Caenorhabditis elegans: one gene and its partners. The protein of the gene in region 1 interacts with the protein of each later gene in a pairwise test. Each region holds a gene or a part of one and is shown in the gene's direction. Other genes may lie near its edges. The genes, in order: hus-1, vig-1, pros-1 and hda-3.

Evidence for each region.
Region 2: the proteins of hus-1 (region 1) and vig-1 interact in a two-hybrid assay, tested with the Caenorhabditis elegans proteins (3 studies listed by BioGRID).
Region 3: the proteins of hus-1 (region 1) and pros-1 interact in a two-hybrid assay, tested with the Caenorhabditis elegans proteins (3 studies listed by BioGRID).
Region 4: the proteins of hus-1 (region 1) and hda-3 interact in a two-hybrid assay, tested with the Caenorhabditis elegans proteins (2 studies listed by BioGRID).

Annotation. Positions count from the first base shown.
Region 1 is NC_003279.8:3,696,345-3,699,846, forward strand, and holds hus-1 (Checkpoint protein), read left to right. Parts: upstream 1-1,757; 5' UTR 1,758-1,767; coding exon 1,768-1,819; intron 1,820-1,875; coding exon 1,876-1,938; intron 1,939-1,983; coding exon 1,984-2,336; intron 2,337-2,410; coding exon 2,411-2,488; intron 2,489-2,540; coding exon 2,541-2,742; intron 2,743-2,792; coding exon 2,793-2,878; 3' UTR 2,879-2,956; downstream 2,957-3,502. Other genes in the region: msh-2 (DNA mismatch repair proteins mutS family domain-containing protein), read right to left, coding at 1-148, 195-648, 725-960, 1,008-1,191.
Region 2 is NC_003280.10:1,319,147-1,323,593, forward strand, and holds vig-1 (Hyaluronan/mRNA-binding protein domain-containing protein), read left to right. Parts: upstream 1-1,890; 5' UTR 1,891-2,001; coding exon 2,002-2,065; intron 2,066-2,186; coding exon 2,187-2,300; intron 2,301-2,347; coding exon 2,348-2,531; intron 2,532-2,589; coding exon 2,590-3,016; intron 3,017-3,067; coding exon 3,068-3,415; 3' UTR 3,416-3,927; downstream 3,928-4,447. Other genes in the region: fcho-1 (FCH domain only protein 2), read left to right, coding at 1-5, 606-832, 880-939, 983-1,108.
Region 3 is NC_003281.10:8,065,498-8,071,984, forward strand, and holds pros-1 (Homeobox protein prospero homolog 1), read left to right. Parts: upstream 1-1,791; 5' UTR 1,792-1,840; coding exon 1,841-1,899; intron 1,900-1,948; coding exon 1,949-2,099; intron 2,100-2,616; coding exon 2,617-2,763; intron 2,764-2,829; coding exon 2,830-3,049; intron 3,050-3,402; coding exon 3,403-3,587; intron 3,588-3,634; coding exon 3,635-3,857; exon of another isoform or gene 3,858-3,988; intron 3,989-4,018; coding exon 4,019-4,490; intron 4,491-4,906; coding exon 4,907-5,051; intron 5,052-5,097; coding exon 5,098-5,205; intron 5,206-5,453; coding exon 5,454-5,528; 3' UTR 5,529-5,966; downstream 5,967-6,487. UniProt on the Caenorhabditis elegans protein: Transcription factor involved in developmental processes. Controls the transcription of genes required for excretory canal formation.
Region 4 is NC_003279.8:11,912,263-11,919,730, reverse strand, and holds hda-3 (Histone deacetylase), read left to right. Parts: upstream 1-2,011; 5' UTR 2,012-2,018; coding exon 2,019-2,177; intron 2,178-3,414; coding exon 3,415-3,889; intron 3,890-4,871; coding exon 4,872-5,072; intron 5,073-5,932; coding exon 5,933-6,073; intron 6,074-6,184; coding exon 6,185-6,606; 3' UTR 6,607-6,940; downstream 6,941-7,468. Other genes in the region: fdps-1 (Farnesyl pyrophosphate synthase), read left to right, coding at 1,610-1,705; mag-1 (Protein mago nashi homolog), read left to right, coding at 7,055-7,114, 7,186-7,468.

The DNA of each region.
Region 1 (3,502 bases):
TCGAACAAAGCTTCAACAATATCCAGTCGCTCGTTGATGTGATCGATCTGGCAAAGTGGACGAGAAAGCCAATCACGGAGCAACTTCTCTCCAGGAAGAGTCTTGCATTTGTTTAAAACATTGTAGAGCGTCAAATTATTCGATTTCTCTGAAATTAAATTATTTTCAAGGAAAATGTAACATTATAACTCTACCCAAATAATTATAATTCAATTGGAAAAGCTCCAGAGCCTCCACAGCACATGAATCAATCAGCATATTTCCATGAGTTCCGTAATTGAAAATACTATACTTCTCAGAAATACTGTATTCATCGGCTGCGTTCGAGTGTAGAATTTGAAGGCATTCCTTGATGTTTTCGTTTTGTTTTTCGGCTTCATCTTTATAATCCAGATGAACCGACTCGATTACATCGCTCCATTGTGACTTTGGCTTCAGCTGTTGCTTGTTGTGAACCTCCATTCTCGTGAACATGCTTGCTATTTTCTTAGCCTTCGGTGCAACTGATCCTTCATTCACTAGAATATATTCTGTGGGGCATAGTCCAAAAATGCATTGTTCCGTTTGAGAAAAAGAAGGAGTATCGATGTATTCACTGATCACAATGCGAACATTTCCAGCATCCCAAGCGCACAATGTTACTCGATTCTGAAATTGGGAATTAATTTAAAAATCTAAAAATCTATAAATCTCTAAATCTAAAAATCTATAAAAATCGTCATACATCATCATCTCCTGGATGAATATAGATTGCAAGAATCGGAGCCTGATCTGACACTCCAATTTCTTGCTCAAAATCCACAGTATTTCCTGGAGATCCACGCTTCGTCATTTTCCACTCTCCCTGTTCACTCGAGTATAGCTCAACGGAGCATCTGAGCAGTACGATGGTTTCACGAACGACCTTCTCGTATTGTCCACGATTTACGGAAATGTACTTCATTTGTTGAGAATTGTCGGCTGAAATTTCACATTTACAGATTTTATTTTGATTTTTCGAGTCTTACTTGATAAAGTGAACGTTTTGACGCAAACATCACTCTTGAAAATGTTAGTAGCGACAAAGGTGGCGTCATCGCCATACACAGAAAAGTATTCGCCTCGTGAGAAAATGGCAATTGTGTTCGGTGATTTAGATTTTAGGATTTTTAGGAGCGCTTTGTCGCTGGCTTCGTCTTTTCCTCCACTCATTTTCGATTTTTTCGCTGAAAAATTCGAATTTTTGTGATAATATAGAGTAAAAGTGAAGAAAAAAGAGTTCATCAACGAAAAATGATTCGACAGAAAGGCCGCTTACTTTTGAAAAGAAATTAAAGGTGCATACAGTATTTCTGTAAAATGGTCCTGCAGGGAAATAGTGTCTCATTGTTTTGGGATTTTTAGCATTTCTAAATTGAATTTAAATGATTAAAAATTAAACAAAGAATATAATCAAATTATTTAAAAGTTCTGTAATAATTTAGATTTTAATAAAAAGAAGGCGAAAATCACATGTTATGCTTACTGTTAAAGATTAAAGGCACATACAATAATACGGTGAATTGGTTTCGCAGGGAAAGAGATACGGTGGTTTTTATTTTTAAACTAATTTTTGTTTCATTTTTCCTTGCAATTTTAACTCTAAACATAATTATTTTAAAAAATTTCGAAAAATATCAAAAGTAAAGTCTTTTTTCAAATTTCTTCCATCGCGCGCGATTTTCCCTTTTTCATTCTCCGTCTCCTTCTCTTTCTAACTAATTTTCACTATTTTCTAGGTTTCAAACAATGAAGTTCAGTTCTCTTCTCCAAGATACTGCGGCAATCGACGTGTTTATCAGTGAGCAGACTGATTATTAAAAAATCTATGAAATATCTGAAAAAATTGTCTTTCAGAAATTTTGACATCAGTGAGCAAATTGAGTAAGAAAAGATGCTGCGTCAAAATAGAAAAGAATGGTTTTAAAAATCCTGTTTTATTAATAAAATTCTATGAACTTTCAGCTCTCAACTTTATTTGCTGTTCAGGACTCCATGATGGTGGAAGTTGGTTCAGTTTATCAATTCCCTATAGCAGTCAAATTTTCCGAAAATTCGATATGGTTGGCATGAATCCACGAAACGAAGAGCAAAATTTGATTTATTTTGAATTGGAAATCGATAGTTTAGTACGTGTTCTGCCCGGCGGACACTGTTATCTGAAACTGAAACTATCGAAAAGTCAAAAAGATGAGCCAATGTTGTCTGTCGAAGTTAGAAATCCAGAAGCCGATATTGTTTCTCATCAAATTCCAATCACAATTATTCTATCAAAATATTGGAATTCGTACTCCAGGCCGTCAATTGGACACAGAAAAGTAAACGATTTTATGATGATAATTATAACTTTACATTAATTTTTTTAATCTCTATTGAAAAAATATATTTACAGATGTCAATCAGCATGCCACCTCCTAAAATGATGTCCCGTTTCTTACACGTCTTCAAAAATATGAACACTCGAGTTGTGGTAATAATATATACACAAATAAAGTCCTGAAATATAAGTTAATTTCATCCAGAAGCTCACAGCCAGTACATCAGGAGATTTGAGGATTTCTACGAAAATTGAAACTGGCGAGATTGATGTAAGCTTCTCGGATCTTCAAACTAATCCATCGGAAACCGATAGTCAAGAGGATACTGCAAAAGTTCAATTAATGATTCGAAATATTTCTCCATTGTTTCAAAGTTTCGCCAACACTCGGACACGTGCCAAAATGAGTAGGATCGGAAATATTTTGATAATTTTTAACAAAAAAAAAATTTTCCAGATATCATCTCAAATCGAATGGCAGAATTCAATTTTCACAATGAGGATTGCGTTCTTTCGTATATTGTTGGAAATGTTTCGGATTAGAAATAATGTTTTTTGTCGTTGTTTGAATGCCTAATTTTCTAGATCTCATAAATTCTGCAAATAAATTTTTTATTTCTTAAAATATATATCCATTTATCAACTGGCTTATTGGCTTTGATTTTCAAAGCATCTTAATTTAAATTAAGTTTAAAATCAGAATATCAAGTTTTTCAAGCGAATTTTTAAACATTTATTTTTTGATAAACTGTATAAAATTCCAAAAAAAAGATAAGCTTGAAAAAACTTTTATTTTGATAGCCGAAGTTCAAGAGGAAGTTGAAAAATAAATTTTTTTTCTAAAATTGCTGGAACTCAGGCAACTCAAATCTAATATGAAAATATTAAATAGCAATATTTTTGTAGTTGGGTGATATTTCAAGATAAAATCGCAATATTCCGAGACTTATTCGAAATCTTTTTAGATTGAGCAATATTTTGAGGTTGATTCGCAATATTTCTGAATCTGAAAATATTACGAAAAATTCGTAATATTTTGAGATGACATAGCAATCTTTTGAGATTGGTTCGCAATCTTTCTGAAATCTAAAAATATTACAAAAAAATGTGTAATATTCTAAGATTAATTTGCAATCTTTTTGCAGTCCATAAAGATTACAAAACATC
Region 2 (4,447 bases), on another chromosome or scaffold:
CACTGGTTCGTCGAGAAATCTTCTGTGTTTTTGAGAAAATTTGAATTTTTAATATTAATTGCGAAAAATTGATGGGTCTGCTAATTAAGAGTTTGTAGTTTGTAGTCTAGCAGACCAAAATTTCCTAAAAAGCGCAGTAATTGATTGGTCTGCTAAATAAGACTTTGTAGTTTGTAGTCTAGCAGACCAAAATTTATTAAAAACTGCAGAAAATTGATGGGTCTGCTAATTAAGAGTTTGTAGTTTGTAGTCTAGCAGACCAAAATTTATTAAAAACTGCAGAAAATTGATAGGTCTGCTAAATTTGATTTTGTAGTTTGTAGTGTAGCAGACCAAAATTTATTAAAAACTGCAGAAAATTGATGGGTCTGCTAATTAAGAGTTTGTAGTTTGTAGTCTAGCAGACCAAAATTTATTAAAAACTGCAGAAAATTGATAGGTCTGCTAAATTTGATTTTGTAGTTTGTAGTGTAGCAGACCCAAATTTTTTATTGAAATTGGCAAAATTGCTGAGTCTGCTAAATAAAATTGAGTTTTTTGTAGTACTTTTTAAATGCAAACGCCAAAAATAAAGCCTAATAATAAAAATCCGCATTTCTTTTCAGATCTCCGTGTCGACTATCGCCTCAACTCAGAATCTTCCATCTCGGCGCCACTTCTCAACGTGAATTTCAGCACAAATTTGACGGGAAGCGTGGATTCTGTGATGTGTGAGCCAGAAGCCAAATGGGTGGCTGGAAATCCGTCACTCGGCTGGAATTTGCTGGAAATTTCAAGAAATGGAGATGTGCACGGATCGCTGAAAGCAAGGATATTTATGAAGAATTCTGGGGTCGGGCTTTTTAATTGCTTTAAAATAAAAAATATATAATTTTCCAGGACGAAGTAAGCTTGGAAATGCTCGATCGGAAGCCGGCGCAGGTCTTCGTGCAATTTCAGGTACTAAAAACTGAAATTTAAGCTCTTAATTTATCTTTTTCAGTGCCTGGAAGCCAATCTATCTGGAGTGGACATTTCCCTAGTGCAATCGGATATTTATCACCTGTCTATGATTCGTAAAAAGGTGCTCGCTGGTAAATATTTTTGTGATCCCGAGCTGCGGAAATAGAGAAGATGAAGAGCTTTTTAATTTGATTTTTGTTTTAATTTTTCTGTGTAAATATAGCATAATTCTCGCGAAATCTGTGATTTTAACAAACTTTCAACTTCTAGTTTTCCAATTTTTCACCACCAAACGAGTTTTTCCACTATTATTCGTTATCCCCCGCTGTAATAAATACTTTTTCCCGGCATTTTTACTTTTTTTACACACATTTTGGGCTGGAAATGTCATAAATTTCTTTTCAAATACTTTAAGACAACAAAAACAATTGGAAAACAAGTTTTCCCCCAACCAAAAATTGATTGAAAATGGCCGAGGACTAGTTTTCGATTTCAAACTGCCGCCCATTTCGGCGGTCGCATTTGGCTGCGTAGCGGCTCGCAAACGCCAGTTTACACTATTGTGATACGCAGCCAAACCTTCACCTGTCCGATTTGAACAGTTTTTCCGATTTTTTTTGACCGTTTTCGCCGGTTTTTTGTAATTTTTTGGGTTGCTAGCAGTAAATCACCGATTTTTGATCAAAATTGCACTGAAAAATGTTTATTTTATTCCGAAATAGTGGATTTTGAGCAATTGTTGATTTTCTGACTTTTGATTCGATTTCTTTCTGGAACATTCAAAAATTCCCTTAAGAAAATGCAATTTGCTTTTTTTATTTTTTGATTTTAGTTGTGAAAAGTGCTTAACTGATTTAAAATATCGCAACGGTGTCTGGCTAATTATACTCTTTTCTTAAATATCGATTTTTGTTTGAAAATTTGAAATCTAAACTAACGTTCTTGCAGGTATCCCCATATTATGGGTTATTGATTAACTTGGCATTGAAATTATTGAATTGAACAGAAGCTTCCTGCACTTGGAATCTTATCTTCATCGAATCAACACAAACAGCAAAAATGAGCACTGAATACGGTTGCCAGGTCACCAACAAGTTCGGTCTTCCATCCGACGACGACGATGGTGAGTGGTTGATGATGATGATCGCCGGATGATTATCTTATCTTCCCGATGGGATATTGCGCAATATTCATATGCGATATACTCCGCCCAGAAGACATTATAAAAAATCGATAATTTGCAGAGTATGACGACCCAAGAGAGCTCATCCAAAAGGTGTCTCAAATCGCCGCCAAGAAGAAGGAGGAAAAGTCTGTGAAGCCCGCCCAGCCGGTCAAGCCAGCCGCTGCTCCAGTTGGTAAGAATTGGCATTCCTATTCTTAAATTAATTAAACATTATTTCAGCCGCCACCAAAACCGACGGTGCTGCTGGACGTGGACGCGGAGGACGTGGTCGCGGACGCGGGGGAGCCGGCCGTCCACGTGACGGAGAACGTGTCTCCAACGAGAACGGTGATCGTCCACAAGGCGAGAACCGTCGTGGAGGACCCCGCAGAGGCGGTGAGCGCGGTGCTGCTCGTCCAGCTGGGTAAGAAACGCTTAAATTTTTAATTTTTTTTTTCATTTTACTGAACTTTGTATTTTAGACGTGGAGGCCGCGGAGGATTCACTCGCGAGAACAGAGAAGGAGAGGAGCCAAAGCAAGAGGTCTCTTTCGAAGACGGACAAGATACCCGTGCCCCAAGACGTCGTGGAGGATTCACCCTTGGAGGTGGACCATCTGGCGGACGTGGAGGAGGCCGTGGTGGACGTGGGCGTCAATTCGATCGTCAATCCGGATCCGACCGTACCGGAGTTCGCTCATTCGACAAGAAGGACGGACACGGAAAGGGCAACTGGGGAGACCAGAAGGACGAGTTGGCTGGAGAAACCGAGAACATTGCTCCAGAGGGCGCTGAGAGCACCGAGCCAGAGGTTCCACGTGAGAAGACCGCTGAGGAGCTCGCCTACGAGGCTGAGTTGGCTGTTCTTGCCAAGCAAAAGACTCTTAAGGAGTTCAAGGCTGCGGCTAAGGTGAGTCGTATAAAATATTAGTTTTGGAATTTATTTTTTTTTTTGTTTCAGGCTGACGCTCCAAAGTTCAACACCAGAAAGGCCGGAGAGGGAGCCGCCGATACTTTTGGCAAGCTCGTTCCAATCAAGAAGGAGGTCATCCCAGATCGTGAGGAAGACGAGGTCGTCGTAATCCACAAGGCTCCAAGAAAGCAAGTGCTCGACATTTCGATCACTTTCCGCAACGATCGTCCAGAACGCGAGCGCAACGACCGTTCTGAGAGGCCGCAACGTGGAGGACCAAGAGGAGGTGGACGCGGTGGAGGCCGTGGAGGACAACGTCAAGGAGGTCATGGAGGACGCAACAACACTCCATTCAACGCTTCTGACGATGCTTTCCCAGCTCTCGGTGCCAAGTAATTCCCCCCCCCCCACTCAACGACCTTCAGCCAACCAACCAATTCGCCCGCCCTCATTCAAATGCTCTGTTCTTCTCTCCATCTTGTTTTCTTCAAAATTCTCCTCTTTTCAATATCTTTGCCTGTGCCCATCTACCCCACAAATTGTTCGTTTCCAAAATGCCTGTTTCTTATTTTTCTTTTTTTTCTAGTTCCCCCATTTAGCTTGTTGTTGTTATCACCTGCCTTATCGATCTCTCTTCTGATGAGTTGCCCTCGATTTGGTTTGCTTGTTATCTCCCGTTTTTTCTTTAATTTTTAAGCCCTTTGAATCCCTTGATCTTCCACATACACCCACCAAGACGACCTCTTCTTTACCAAATATTTGACACAACAAAAGGTCTCAATTGTGTCAAGGATCAACGAACTAGTACTAGGAAACTCAATTTGTGCCCCTTCCAACCACCACCCCATTGCGCCCAGGTTTCGTTTTAATTGGAGTTTGTTGTTAACAAGATTTGATAAAGCATCATTTTTGTGTTAAACACCCCAATCATTCTATATCACACACACACACAAACACCCATTTTTCTTCTTTTTGCCTCCACACACCCCCCCCCCCCCCCCCCACCCAACTGTATCCGTATTTTGTAATAAAACGGTCTAAACCAACCACAGGGGCGTGGCCTGACACATGCCATTTCTAGGCCGCGAGCCGAGTGCTCTGATTCTCTGCCGCCTCTTTTAGAGAGCCGCGACGTCTTCTTCAGCGGGAGAGAGGGAGCACCCCCCCCCCTCCCCATTGCTCGGCAAAAACTTTTGCTCTCCTTTCACTTCTTATTGATTTCCCTTCTGTTAGCCGCCTAAATTAGAATTTTTAATTCTTCAGATTCTCAATAGAGCGAGCTTGCGTTCGAAATAATTTAATTTTTAATTAAATCTTCCTGCGACTCTTCTCTCTTTGGAAATTGCTATTTCGCAAGTTTAGTAACGATTTTATGACAGCAGCGGCGTCCGAATTTGAAATTGAATTAGGTCCCCTGAGAAGCTTTTT
Region 3 (6,487 bases), on another chromosome or scaffold:
TTTCTTACCATGATGTCTTAGATGGTAAGGGGATAACTTCTTAGATCATCTAAGAAGCTCTGAGATTCTATAGCATAGATCTTAAGTACTTTAACAGCACTACAGAAACTTATAGGATATGCTTTTGATTTCTGTATTTTCTAAGAAAACTACTTGAATATATTCTTCTGAAAATTCAATGTGCATCTGGAATTCTTTTGACAGTGCAGACTGCGAAAATGCCTCTATGCCTGCGATGCTCAAAACTTCATGAACCCTAGTGTTTGAAAAAGCTTTCACAGTTTGGAAAAAACCACAATTAGGGATCAAAATCAATATTTACAAAAAACCAAAAAGATTCGCTTTCAATGCGACCTACGCCTAGTTTACCACCTAGTTTCCTACGAGTTATGACTTTTAGCAAAAACTCTTCAAAGCACAGGTAGGTAGGTACAAAAATGACTGAAAATGTTAGAGTTTATGCTGACGCGGCCCACCAGGTTGCGTACGTACAGGCGTTATTGCTTCAATGATCCTAAGTATACACAAAGATAAGAATTTAGAAAAACTTAACTGGAAAATAAAAGCTCAGCCATTTTTTCGAGAATTTAATATAAAATTTTAAAAATCAGAAAAAAAATAAGTACAAATCTCAAAATCTTTCTAGAATGTTCTTCGAAAAAAGAAGACGTTGACGAAATTAAGAATTCAATCTTCGTCCATTGTTCTGCCAAGTGCATAAGATTCTTCTCTTCTCTCAAATTTATACGATGAAAAATTAATGTTTCTTCCGATATTCTTCTTTTCACACAATTTCTTTTTCTTATTTATATTCTAAAACGAAAGTGTCAAGGGAGAAGAAACTAAAAAAGGAGAAATGTTTAGGAGTCATGGTGATTTGAAAACTTTGAAGTATACTTCTATATGTCCTCCTGTCCTAGGTCTCCTCTTGTCCCATTAAAACTTCACACATTTTCTTTCCCAAAAACTTTAGTCTTCTTAAGAATGACGTGAAATTTATGGGAGAATTAAAGAATGCTCCTCTCAAATTTCTTTCTGTTTCTCTCAAAAACTACCGTAGTCGTCCCCAATCGTCTCCATTTTCATCTTCTTCAACCTTCTCCAGAGACCCATTACCTAAATTGTTTCTTGTGAGCTACACATATGTGCCTCCTTTTGGCTCCTTTTAGTCACTCAGACAAATCTCTTCCTTTTTGCTTTTCGCAAAAGGAAATTAGTTTTCCACTTAGGTTCTCAGCATTTTCAAATTTTATTGGAAATTTTCCGAAGCTCCATTGGTCTTGAGCGAAGAGTTTTTGTAAAAAATGGTGCTAAGAGAAATCTTAGACTCTCTATAACTTTTAGCGATCTTGATTGAAGTTTTTTCTGATCCCGTAAGATTTAGAGAATTCATACACGACATGACGCCTAAGTACCCTATAGATACTGTAGACGTCTTCCAGTAAAACATCTGAAAGTTGTTTCGGTATGGAAACAGAGATTATGCTAATAAAATAATTCGGCAGAAAGTGGCAAGTCACTTGTCTTCGCCCGTTTCCTTTTTTGCATAATCCTACTTACGACCGTTATGATGTTGATGATGATCGAAAAGATTAGATGTATTTTTGAGTATGACATAACAAAAACTTTCAAGTTGTTACCGTAATCCACCCCCTTCAATTTCAATATGTATATCCTTGGCTCTTGTATATGTGTATGTATATTCTGATTTAATAACATTTCGACTCCCCACTGTGCTTTTCTTGCCTTCTCTTTATTCGTATTCAATTTCAATTCTTTATTTTCTTTCAGGTATTCCAATTCCAATTGTCAAGAATTCAGATAGCTAGTGACGTCATCAATGTCATCTGGATTGCCTTCGATTGCTGCTACCGCACAACCGAGTGCCAACGGATTCAGGTAACAGACTTTTACCCTGGAACTCTTTAAAAAACTAACAAAGTTTTAGCTTTAACAACGGATTCCCACCATTCGGTATTTACTACTCTCAACTTCCCCCTGTTAACTCTAACGGATCCACCCCGAATTCAAGTAACCGATTCAAAGTGAAACGCCATCGACAGAGAGTTGACGCCGGTGAACCAAGAAACACATATCAGGTAGGCAAGAAACATTTTTAAACCGGCAATACAATACTCCGGACTTTTGTCTTGCATCTCCATTTCTCACCTTTCAAAGCTTATCTCTCTCTGAATTTTTGACGAAATCAAAATGCCAAACGCAAAACCAAACGCATATAAGTTTTCAAAGTAGATTTCAGTTAACTCAGTTAATTAGTAGTAGCTTTAGTTAACTGCAACGTAAATGTTGGAAACTTTAAAGTTGACAAAAATGGTCAAAACTAAATTTAACTGTACTGTAAGTTGGTATGTTTTTCTTGGCAAAGTAGTTCAAGGAAAACACAGTTTTCTAACTGAAACGTTTGATAATCCCGACAAAATCGAAAAAATAAATATGCAAATCTACGTGTCATAATCATAAGATAAGTGTCTTCCTGTATTTCGGCGGCGACATATACATTGTTCCTTTACTTTCCCATCAACTAATATATTCATTTCGTGGCGGTTGCTAATCAGCTCATCTCATTCTCTCTTTTACTCCTTCATTTTATTCCAGGGAGCCTCTACATCAGTCTCTTCAAATAGTTCTTCATCATCGTCTACATCAAATACAAATTCAACACCTTCTTCATCTTCAACATCTTCAAAGAAGTCAACGGAAGGGATGACTGAGACGGAAACGATGACAGCTTCAATTGAACAGGTACGAGAAGAGAGAGGAAGAGGGGATAATAAGATTAGCCTAGTTATTTATGATACTTTCTTATAGGAAAAAGTGATTCAAAATGAAGAATCGGAAGCTGGTAAAGATGGAATGGAAGAGCATGATGATGGAATGAATGATTTCGAAATTATTGATGATACAAATGATGAAGTTGAAGAATCAGAAGAACGGGAGAGCCCTGAAAGTAACAGTAGCTCTGCTTCAAAAAGGAAAAGCTTTCAACCACAGAAAATTGGAGAGGAGTTAGGAATTGAATTTGGAGATGGTTAGTTTTATTAATTGATGTATCATATTACCGTTGTTCTTGCATACTTACTTACTTGTTAGGTATTCAGTAAGTCAGTAAGTTTGTTAGCTAGTTAACTACTACTTCACTTTGAAAAAAAAATTCTCACTTCCTTTTAAGCAAATCAATAAATATTACACTACAAAACGATAGTCATAACAAATATTTTGTCAGTTGACAACTTTTGAATAGAATCAACGACCTTTGAAATACATATAAGCTGTCAAATTTGTAGTACAAAAATAATAGAAAACATTAACTTGATCATAAACTTGACTCATAAACTTGACTGTCTTAACTTAAAAGAAAATTTAATAAATTCAATTTTGCAGAAACGGAGCAAATTAATGTTACTGTTGGAGGTACAGAAGAAGCCGAAGAGACTACAGATGAAGCTGAAGGTAGAGAACTCTCGGCTCTTCAAGCTCAGCTTCAAAATGGACATATCGCTGAGCAGCAGAGACGATTTTATGCTGCATTTTTAGATCAGCAACGGAAACAGGTTGCAGCGGCACAGGTATACAATTAAAATGTTCATTAACTTTCTAAACTGAAAATGTTTAGATTTTGCACAATGGAAAGATCAACATCGAACGTCTTGTCTCCTCGGTTAAAGGAGATTTAGTTACCAATTTCATGAAAGATTTGGAAAAGGTGATCCGTGATTGGGCTGCCGATGAAGTATTAAAGCAAGAAGCTGCTGCTCCTCCTCAGATTCCACAACCTCCACCTCAATTCCATCCAATTTTCCCTGCAAACCCATTGTTCCACATGGCGCCTCCACATCGTAAGTTATTTACACAGCTTTTCTATTTGCCCTTTGACCAGAAAAATGTCGGCCGAATGGTCTAGTGGTATGATTCTCGCTTTGGGTGCGAGAGGTCCCGGGTTGAATCCCCGGTTCGGCCCAACATTTTTTGAAAAAATATTTGCTTTTTGCTCTTGTAGATCCAGTTGCTGGAGGTGGAATTTTTCCTCCAAACTTCAATGCATTTAACGCATTCAACGCTCTCCGAAGAAATCTTCAAGACGTAGATACCTCGTCGGAAATGAAAAAGAAGCGAACAAAGGTGGAAATCAAGAAAGAAGACGCAATGAGTAGCCGTGCATCACCATTGAGTGCATCTGCCAGCCCACCACTCTCCAGATTCTTTCCAGCACCAACTATGGTTGGACACTACGGTGGAATGAACTTTGGAGATCGAGAGGACTCACCAACAAATTCCGATGAGCTCAGTGAATGTGGATATGAAGGTGGTGGCTCAAGTTCAATGTTAACACCAATGCACTTGAGAAAGGCAAAGCTGATGTTTTTCTACACACGATATCCAAATTCAAATCTGCTGAAATCGTATTTCCCTGATATCCGATTCAATAAGAATAACACTGCACAATTGGTGAAATGGTTCAGTAACTTCAGGTTGGTTTTAATAATGAAAATTCTTCTCTGGTACTCGCCATTGATTTCTTAACTTCATGGTTATCTCCTGTTGTTTTGTTGTTTGGAGTCATAATGACCTTTCCCATTACAAATACTGCTTCATAATTCGAAAAAGTGATGAGGTGAAAAAGAAAACAAACAAATCCTCGTCTCTCTCAGTCCAACTCGTTTCGTTTCAAACAATGAGAAAAGGGTCTTAAGGTGTGATACGCGTCGTTGGCGAAGAAAAGACATCATCATGTCGACGTCTTCATCATAAAAATGTGGGCAAAAAAAGAAAATGAAGAAGGAGAAGATTATTTATATTTGAATTGGATTCAGGAGATGAAGTTAGGCAATGGGGAGACGAAATCAAATAGGTTCTTCTTATACTGTACCAACTCAAATATTTTCAGAGAGTTCTACTACAATCAGATGGAGAAGTTCGCGAGACAAGCTCTCGCTGAGGGAATTACTGATAGAAATGATATTTTTGTGTCAAAAGACAGTGAACTTTTCAAAGTTTTGAATACACATTATAACAGAAATAATCATATTAAGGTACGGTTTCTTTTCGTAAGCAACACTAAATTTATATAATTTGCAGGCACCAGATCGTCTTGTATTTGTGGTTCAAGAGACTCTTCGTGAGTTTCATGATGCAATCAAACAGGGAAAAGATATTGAACCATCATGGAAGAAAACAATCTATAAGGTAGGTAGGAGTGCCTTCATAACAGAGTTCTAACAATAAGACAGTAGGCACGCGTGTAGGTATGTGATGGGCGTTGCCTACGAGCAGGTCTGCATGAAATGGTAGGCGCACATGTAGGCATGAAACAGGTGCACAAGGCAGGAGTGGCAATTTTTGAGTTTCTCAATTGGTGCTCAAATATTTTGAAAGCTCTAAACTTTTGTGTTTTGCCATATTCCAATAGAAAATCAAACTTACCCTTTTTGCAGGTTATCAATCGATTGGAAGATCAGATTCCCGACTTCTTCAAGGAGCCAAACTTCCTCGAGCGTCTTGAAACATAATCACCATATATTCCCTCTCATTATCAGTTTCTCAATATTTCAGTTTTCCTTGTTTATGTGTTCCATTGTGATTTTAAAACTTTATTGCCCATGTTTTCCCTCATCCCATTCGAATATCAATTACCCCATCCAATTTAACTCTCATTCCTTGACAACTTTCATTCTAAGTCCCCATTTCAAAATGTGCAATTTAATATTTATTTGAGCTCTCTGGAGCTCGTCTTCCTCATTTTCTTTGTCAAACGCTTTTTGTGTTATTGGTTTCAATTGAACATTCAAAAATTCCCAATTTTGCCACATGGCATAATCCTCCAATTCTATTATGGTTTCCATTTTCCCCAAAACTTTCTGTGCCTCCGATTTCTATATTTTCATTCGATGTTTCTTATTGTAATATTGGTATGGAAAATATGGAACATTCAATATCACTTGCGGTCCTATAATTAAAACCAGAAACCTACATGCATCTGGCCCGGAAAAAAACAGTATGCAGACTTCTTATCGGTGTGGCTAATAGTCAGTTTTGCTATTTTTGCTCCTATAACACGGCACACGGTCTCACGATATTTTTATTAAGTTCCAAAAGGTGTGCACCTTTAAAGAGTACTGTAACTTCAAAATCTCGTTGCTGCGAAATGAAAGAAACAGGATAAAAGTGAAAGAAAATTCTGCAGAAATGAATGTTTGAAATTACAGTACTCTTTAAAGCCACACACCTTCTCGCATTTGATAAACATTTGTCGTATCGAGACCGGATACCGTACTTTTGGTACAACATCGCAAAATTTCTCGCCCGTGTAATAATAATCTTTAAATAATGTTAAGGTATACCCCCTCTTGTGTGCAATTCATAAATGGCGGCCGAGTGATAAAAAAAGGAAAAGTTTCCATTTTTTAGTAAGATGTTCCAATTTTGGTTCGAAAATAAAAACAAAAAAGATAACAAGTAAAACTGTATA
Region 4 (7,468 bases), 8.2 Mb from region 1:
AAACCGGCCAAACAAAATTTCTGTAAAATTAAAATTCGTTTAAAAAAAATCGATTTTTCACTGAAAATAACGCAAAAACACATTTTTTCGCGAAAGAAAATCACAAATAGCTACAAAAAGCTAGCTCAGTGAATTTTTTAGAAAAAATCAACAATTTTCGTTTATTTTTCAGATTTTTGCAGTTTTTTTAGAAGGAAAGAAAAATGAGATTTTTTGTCGAATTTTCTAGGGAAAAATCACTGAAAATCGAGGAAAATTGTACAATTTTTCAATAATTTTTTAGAAAAATCGGTTAATTTAATTTTTCGAAGCTTAAAAAAATAGAAGTTATCTTAAAAAACCGCCTAAATTTAAAAAAAAATTAAGAAAAAAGGAAAAACCAGATAATTCACAAAAAAAAAACCACCTAAAGTTGTGATTTTTGCCGAATTTTCCAGAGAAAAATCATGGGAAATCGAAGAAAATTGCACTATTTTTCAGAATTTTTGCAGAAAAAAAATTTTGTCAATGAAAAATCTGATTTTCTTCGAAAAAACTACAAAAAAACATGATTTTTCGGTGTAGATATTAGGGAAAAAAATTTTTAACCAGAAATTATCAAAACCTCGCCAAAAAAAATTTCAAAAAAAGAAAAAACCAGAAGATTCACAAAAACTACGAAAGAAGCCGAAAATTTGAAAAAAAAATCGAGAATTTTTGTTTATTTTCTCTAGATTTTTGTGAATTTTTAGAAGAAAAAAAAAGTGGATTTTGCCGATTTTTCCAGAGAAAAATCGCTGAAAATCGAAGAAAATTGTTTTTTTTTCCAAAAATTCACAACAAAAAAATTAAAAAAAAAATCACCAGAAGCCGAAAATTTGACAAAAAACAGCTCTGTGAGTTTTTAGAAGAAAAAATCTAGAATTTTTGTTTATTTTTCAGCTCTTTCAGGTTTTTCAAGTGAAAAAATGCAGATTTTTGCCGATTTTTCCAGTGAAAAATTGCTGAAAATCGGCTTTTTCCAAGGCTTTTGCAGAAAAAAATTATTAAATGAATGAATTTACTTTTAAAAAATTGAAAAATCTGATTTTCTTTGAAAAAACTACAAACAAAAATCGTATTAAAAATCGATTTTCTCTGAAAAAAAAACGCAAAAAACATTTTTTTTTCGCGAAATTAAATCACAAAACCGAAAAATTCAATTTTTTAATTTTTAAAAATCGTACAAAAAATTTACGGAAAAAATCCGGAAAACTGTATATATTCACCAAATATATAGTGATTAAAATTTTTTTTTAAGTTAAAAAAAATTTTATTCAAAAAATAAAGAAAAAACCAAGAAAATTCACAAAAAAAACATAAAGAAGCATGTTTTTTGAAGAAAAAACTAACAGATTTTTCCGTTAAAAATAAACGAAAAAAACATATTTTCATAGAAAAAATCACTAGAAGCCGAAAATTTGTAAAAATGTTTTTTAAAAATAAAATTTATTCAATAAATAGAAGGAAATGACCAGAAACTCAGAAAAAATTGAAAAAATTTTTTTTCAATTTTTAATATTTCTTTTAAAAAAGGTAGTTTCCGGTGAAAAAAAAACCCCAAAAATCCAAAAAAGCTCCAAATTTTCAGATAAAAAAGAGCATATCCGAGATTCCTGACGTCATCAACCCACTGCGACCGGTTCTAGATGGATTTGTGACGAAGCTGGTGAACAGAAATGCATAGGAAATTCTTCAAAATTTTTCCGAATTTATTTTCAATTTAAATGTATATTTTTCGATGATTCTCTCTATTTCAGACCACCACCCCGTTTTATTGATTTTTTGAGCTTTCACCCACAGAAACCCTTTGCAAAAATTAATTTATTTTTTGACTCTAATTTAAATTTCTAAATTATATATTTATATATGAATGCTTGTTGTCCTTAAATATTTCCCCATTCCATTTTCCCCGAAAAAATCCGTTAAAAATCGGTTTTTATATACTTTTAAAATATATATTTTCCAGGCTTTTTTTTTCCAATTTTTTAAGCTTCCAGATGAGCCTCCAACACTCGAAATCTCGAGTTTCCTACTATTATGATGGAGATTTTGGAAATTTCTACTATGGACAAGGACATCCAATGAAACCGCATCGTGTTCGAATGACACATAGCCTTATTGTTAATTATGGATTATATCGGAAGCTTAATGTCATGGTATGGACCTCGAAATTTGGTGGATAGCTGGAAAAACTGCAGAAAAAATTGAAAAATTTAGATGAAAATTTCAGAAAAATTTCGAAATTTCAAAAAAAAATATTTTTTTCTTAATTTGCTGTTTTCGGGTCTCGACACGACAATTTTTTGAAGCAGCACAAACGGGTATGCGGCTTTAACGATTACCGTAATTTTGGAATTTTTATCGATTTTTCAAAAGTAAATGTGCCTTTAAAATTAGATTTACTAAACTCTGAAAAATCGATGAAAATTCCGAAATTACAGTAATCCTTAAAGGCGCAGCACCCGTTTGTGCCGCTTCACAAAAATTGTCGTGTCGAGACCCGTTGTTTGACGAAAATCGCAAGGGAGGAAAAAAATGAATTTAATTTTAAAAATCCGCAGTAAAATACACTTTTTTTTCCAGGAAACTTGTAGAAAATTTGAAAAAAGTGCTAAAATTTCGATTTTCGCAATATTTTTTGAGAAACTATCTAATTTTGTTGAATTTTTTAAAAATTCTTCTGAAAATCAGTTGCTTTGTGTGGCGGAATTCGAGATTTCAGGTAAATTTTGCAATTTTTCAGAAATTTTGCTTTTTTTTTTTTTTGAAAATTTGCACCTTTTCTGAAATTTTGCATTTTCAGAATTTTTGCTTTTTTTTGAAAATTTGCATTTTTTCTGAAATTTTGCAATTTTTCTTGAAAATTTCGTTAAAATTTTGCATTTTTTCTGAAATTTTCGGTAAAATTTTACAATTTTTCTAAAATTTTGCATTTTTCAGAATTTTTGCTTTTTTTTTTGAAAATTTGCATTTTTTCTGAAATTTTGCAATTTTTCTTGAAATTTTCGGTAAAATTTTACAATTTTTCTAAAATTTTGCATTTTTTCTGAATTTTTGCATTTTTTCTGAAATTTTGCATTTTTCTAAAATTTTTGGCTAAATTTTAAAATTTTGCATTTTTTCTGAAATTTAGCAATTTTTCTTGAAAATTTCGTTAAAATTTTACAATTTTTCTAAAATTTTGCATTTTTTTTTTGAAAATTTCGTTTAAATTTTGCATTTTTTCTGAAATTTTAAGTAAAATTTTACAAATTTTTTGAAATTTTCAGCTAAATTTTGCAATTTTTTCTGAAATTTTGCATTTTTTTTTGAAATTTTCATCTAAATTTCGTAAATTTTTGTCCATTTTAAATCCAAAAAACCTCCTCAAAATTTCCCATATTTTTTTTGCAGCGTCCCGCCCGTGCTTCATTCTCCGAAATCACACGTTATCACTCTGACGACTATATCAATTTCCTTCGTAACGTTAAATCCGATAATATGTCCACATTCACAGATCAAATGGCCCGATTCTCAGTTGGAGAGGATTGTCCTGTCTTTGATGGAATGTATGAGTTCTGCCAGCTATCATGTGGTGGATCACTGGCTGCTGCCGCCCGGCTTAATCGTCAAGAATCAGAAATTGCAATTAACTGGATGGGTGGTCTACATCATGCGAAGAAATCGGAAGCTTCTGGATTCTGTTACTCGAATGATATTGTTCTGGCGATTTTGGAGCTTTTGAAGCATCATAAAAGAGTTCTTTATATTGATATTGATGTTCATCATGGTGATGGAGTTGAGGAAGCATTTTATACGACAGATAGAGTTATGACTGTTTCATTTCATAAACATGGAGAATATTTCCCTGGAACTGGAGATTTAAAGGGTACGGGAAGAGAGATCTCTTCGATTTTTTAAATTTAAATTTTAAATTTCCGACAAATCTGCAAATTGCCTGAAAAAAATTTGCCGGAAATCGGCAAATTAATATTAGCTGAAAATTCGATTTTTTTTTTGGAAAAAATGTCGTTTTTTCGATGCTTTTGAGGGAAAATCGAAAAATAAATTTTTCAAAAATTTTTAAAATTAAAAAAAAATTCAGAAAATTAACTATAAAATAAGATTTTTTGGCGAATTTAATTTCAGCTAATTTTAATTTTCCGGCAAATTGGCAAACTGGCAAATTTTTGCCGGAAATCGGCAAATTGTCTGAATAGAAAATTTCCGGCGAGTTGCCGGAATTTAAGTTTTTGGCAAATTGCAGGAATTGAAATTTTCCGGGAAATTGCCGATTTGCCAAATTTGCCGGAAAATCGACAATTTTCCGGCAAACTGCCGGAATTTAAATTTTTGGCAATTTGCCGGAAATTAAATTTTCTGGAAAAACGGCAAATTGCCGGAATTTAGCATTTCCGGCAAATCGGCATATTGCCGGAGTTTTTAATTTCCGGCAAATCGTCAAGTTGCCGGAATTGACAATTTCTGGCAAATTGTCGGAATTGAAATTTGCTGGAAAATCGACCATTTGTCGGTAATGAAAATTTCCGACAAATTTGGAAAATTGCCGGAATTGAAATTATCCGGCAAAATGTCGATTAGCCGAGTTTCCCGGAAAAACGGCAAATTGCCGGAATTTGAAATTTCCGGCAAATGTGCGAATGGCAGGAATTGGAATTTGCCGGAAACACGGCAAATTTTCGGAATTTAAATTTCCGGCAAATCGTCAAATTGCCGATAATGAAAATTTCCGGCAGATCGGCAAATTGCCGGAATTTACCATTTCCGGCATATCTGCAAATCGGCAAACCGGCAAATTGCCGAAAATAGCTACATTTATTTCAAAAAATTTATGAAAAAGTTTTTTTCAGACGTTGGCGCTGGAAGTGGCAAGTACTATGCTCTGAATGTTCCACTTCGTGATGGAGTCGATGACGTCACTTATGAACGGATTTTCAGAACAATTATGGGAGAAGTTATGGCAAGATTTCAACCAGAAGCAGTTGTGCTCCAATGTGGTGCCGATTCACTGGCAGGAGATCGGCTAGGAGTATTCAATTTGACTACTTATGGTTTGTGTGTGTCGATTTACGAAGAAGCTCTCGTGTACTCCTCGTGGAGAAGATTTTCTCAGTTTTCGGCAAAAATTCTCGATTTTGGATCATTTTCGCTAGTTTAAACTAAAATTTTCACAAAAAATCAAGAAAATTCGTTAAAATGGTGATTTTCGCGGCGAGACCCATCCGAACTCGTCTGTGCGCCTTTAAGTAGGAATTGTGGAGAAATTCGGAATAATAATAGCAAAATCACGAATTTTAAGTAAAAATTGAGAGGAAACCTACCTAAAAATGGGATTTTTATCGGAAAAAGTGCTAAAAAATGCTTTTCTCACTGAATATATCGGAATTTCTTAGTTTTTGGCGAAATTTTGTGATTTTGGGCCATTTTCACTAGATTTAACACTCAAAAAATCAAGAAAAGTCGTTAAAATAATGCTTTTCGCGGCGAGACCCATCCGAACCCGGCTGTGCGCCTTTAAATAGGAATGGTGAAGTAATTCGGAATAACAATAGCAAAATCACGAATTTTAAATAAAAATTGAGAGGAAACCTACCGAAAAATGGGATTTTTTCGATGAAAATTACTGAAAAATCGGATTTTTTCACGAAAAACATCAGAAAAAACGGAAAAAATTCAGTTTTTCTCGGAAAATATGCTAAAAATTGCCTTTTTCACAAAAAAAAAAACAGATAATGAGTTTTCTATGACAAAAACAATTTTTTAAAACGTATTTTTAACGAAAAACATCTGAAAAATCACGGAAAAAAACTCCAATTTTTCCCGGAAAATGACCAAAAATTAGATTTTTTCATAGAAAATAACCAAAAAATTGGCCTTTTTCTCAGAAATAAGCAAAAATTTTTTTTTTCAGGACACGGAAAATGCGTGGAATACATGAAAAGCTTCAACGTGCCGCTTCTGTTAGTTGGCGGTGGTGGATATACGATTCGAAATGTCTCCAGATGTTGGCTGTACGAGACGGCGATCGCTTTGAATCAAGAAGTTTCAGATGGTATGGAAATTTCGATTTTTCCCCCGGAAATTTGCGAAAAAACGGCTTATTTTCGGCAAAAAATCTTGAAAATTCGAATTTCCCGCTAAAAAATGCCAATTTTTCTTCCAGATCTGCCCCTCCACGACTACTTTGACTACTTCATCCCGGACTACAAACTACACATAAAGCCGCTCGCCGCTCTTTCGAACTTCAACACTCCTGAATTCATTGATCAAACGATTGTCGCGCTTTTGGAGAATTTAAAGCAACTTCCACACGTTCCATCGGTCCAAATGCAATCGATTTCGACGAGTTGTGACTCAATTGTGAAGACTTTTGACGAGAAACTGATCCGAGATCATCAGAATGATGACGTCAGAGTTACTCAGTTCGAGGAAGACGTTCAGGTGGAAGATTCGGCGGAATTCTACGATGGTCAAGAGCCGGAGACGAAGAATATTCAATCGATGAAACGGCACGCGAGTCCGATTTGTGCGGCGCAAGAGGAGATGAAGAAAAATCGGATTGATGGCGGCGAAAATGTGGCATAATTTGGTTTTAACTTGATTTTCTGTATGCACTAACTTTGTATTTATATCGTCTCTTCAAACTATTTCTTTAATTTATACGAATCTCAACTTCTCTAAACCTCTATTGATCCTCAAATCTATTTAAATCTTTCGTTAAATCGACAATTAAAAAATTTCCGTCGTCAAGTGTGGTGCCGGTGGTGCATACACCGCCGCGCACAAATGCACAGATTTCGGCGTTTTCGAATTTTTATCGGATTTCTTTTCTCTATATTTTAAAGGATATTTTCTATCGTTTCTTGTCTAAAAACACAGTTTTTATCGAATTTATCACAATATAAACCTATTTATCATCTTTCTTTTGTGAATTTTCACTGAAAAATCAGGTTTTTTTACCTTGAAATTCTAATTTTCACCCGGTTTTATTTAATGGATGTTTGGATTTTCTCAATTCCTATTTATTTTCAGAATGAGCGGCGAAGAAGAGAAGGCAGCGGACTTTTACGTTCGTTACTACGTTGGACACAAGGTAGGTCTTGGAAAATCTTGGAAAAATGACAATTTTCGCCAATTTAAATTAGTTTACGAAACAATTTTCAGGGAAAATTCGGTCACGAATTTCTCGAATTCGAATTCCGTCCAAACGGATCGCTTCGCTACGCGAACAACTCCAACTACAAGAATGACACGATGATCCGCAAAGAGGCGACAGTGTCGGAATCGGTGCTCAGCGAGCTCAAGCGTATCATCGAAGACTCGGAAATCATGCAGGAGGACGATGACAATTGGCCAGAACCAGACAAGATTGGACGCCAGGAGCTGGAAATTCTGTACAAAAACGAGCACATCTCGTTTACGACCGGCAAAATCGGAGCTCTAGCCG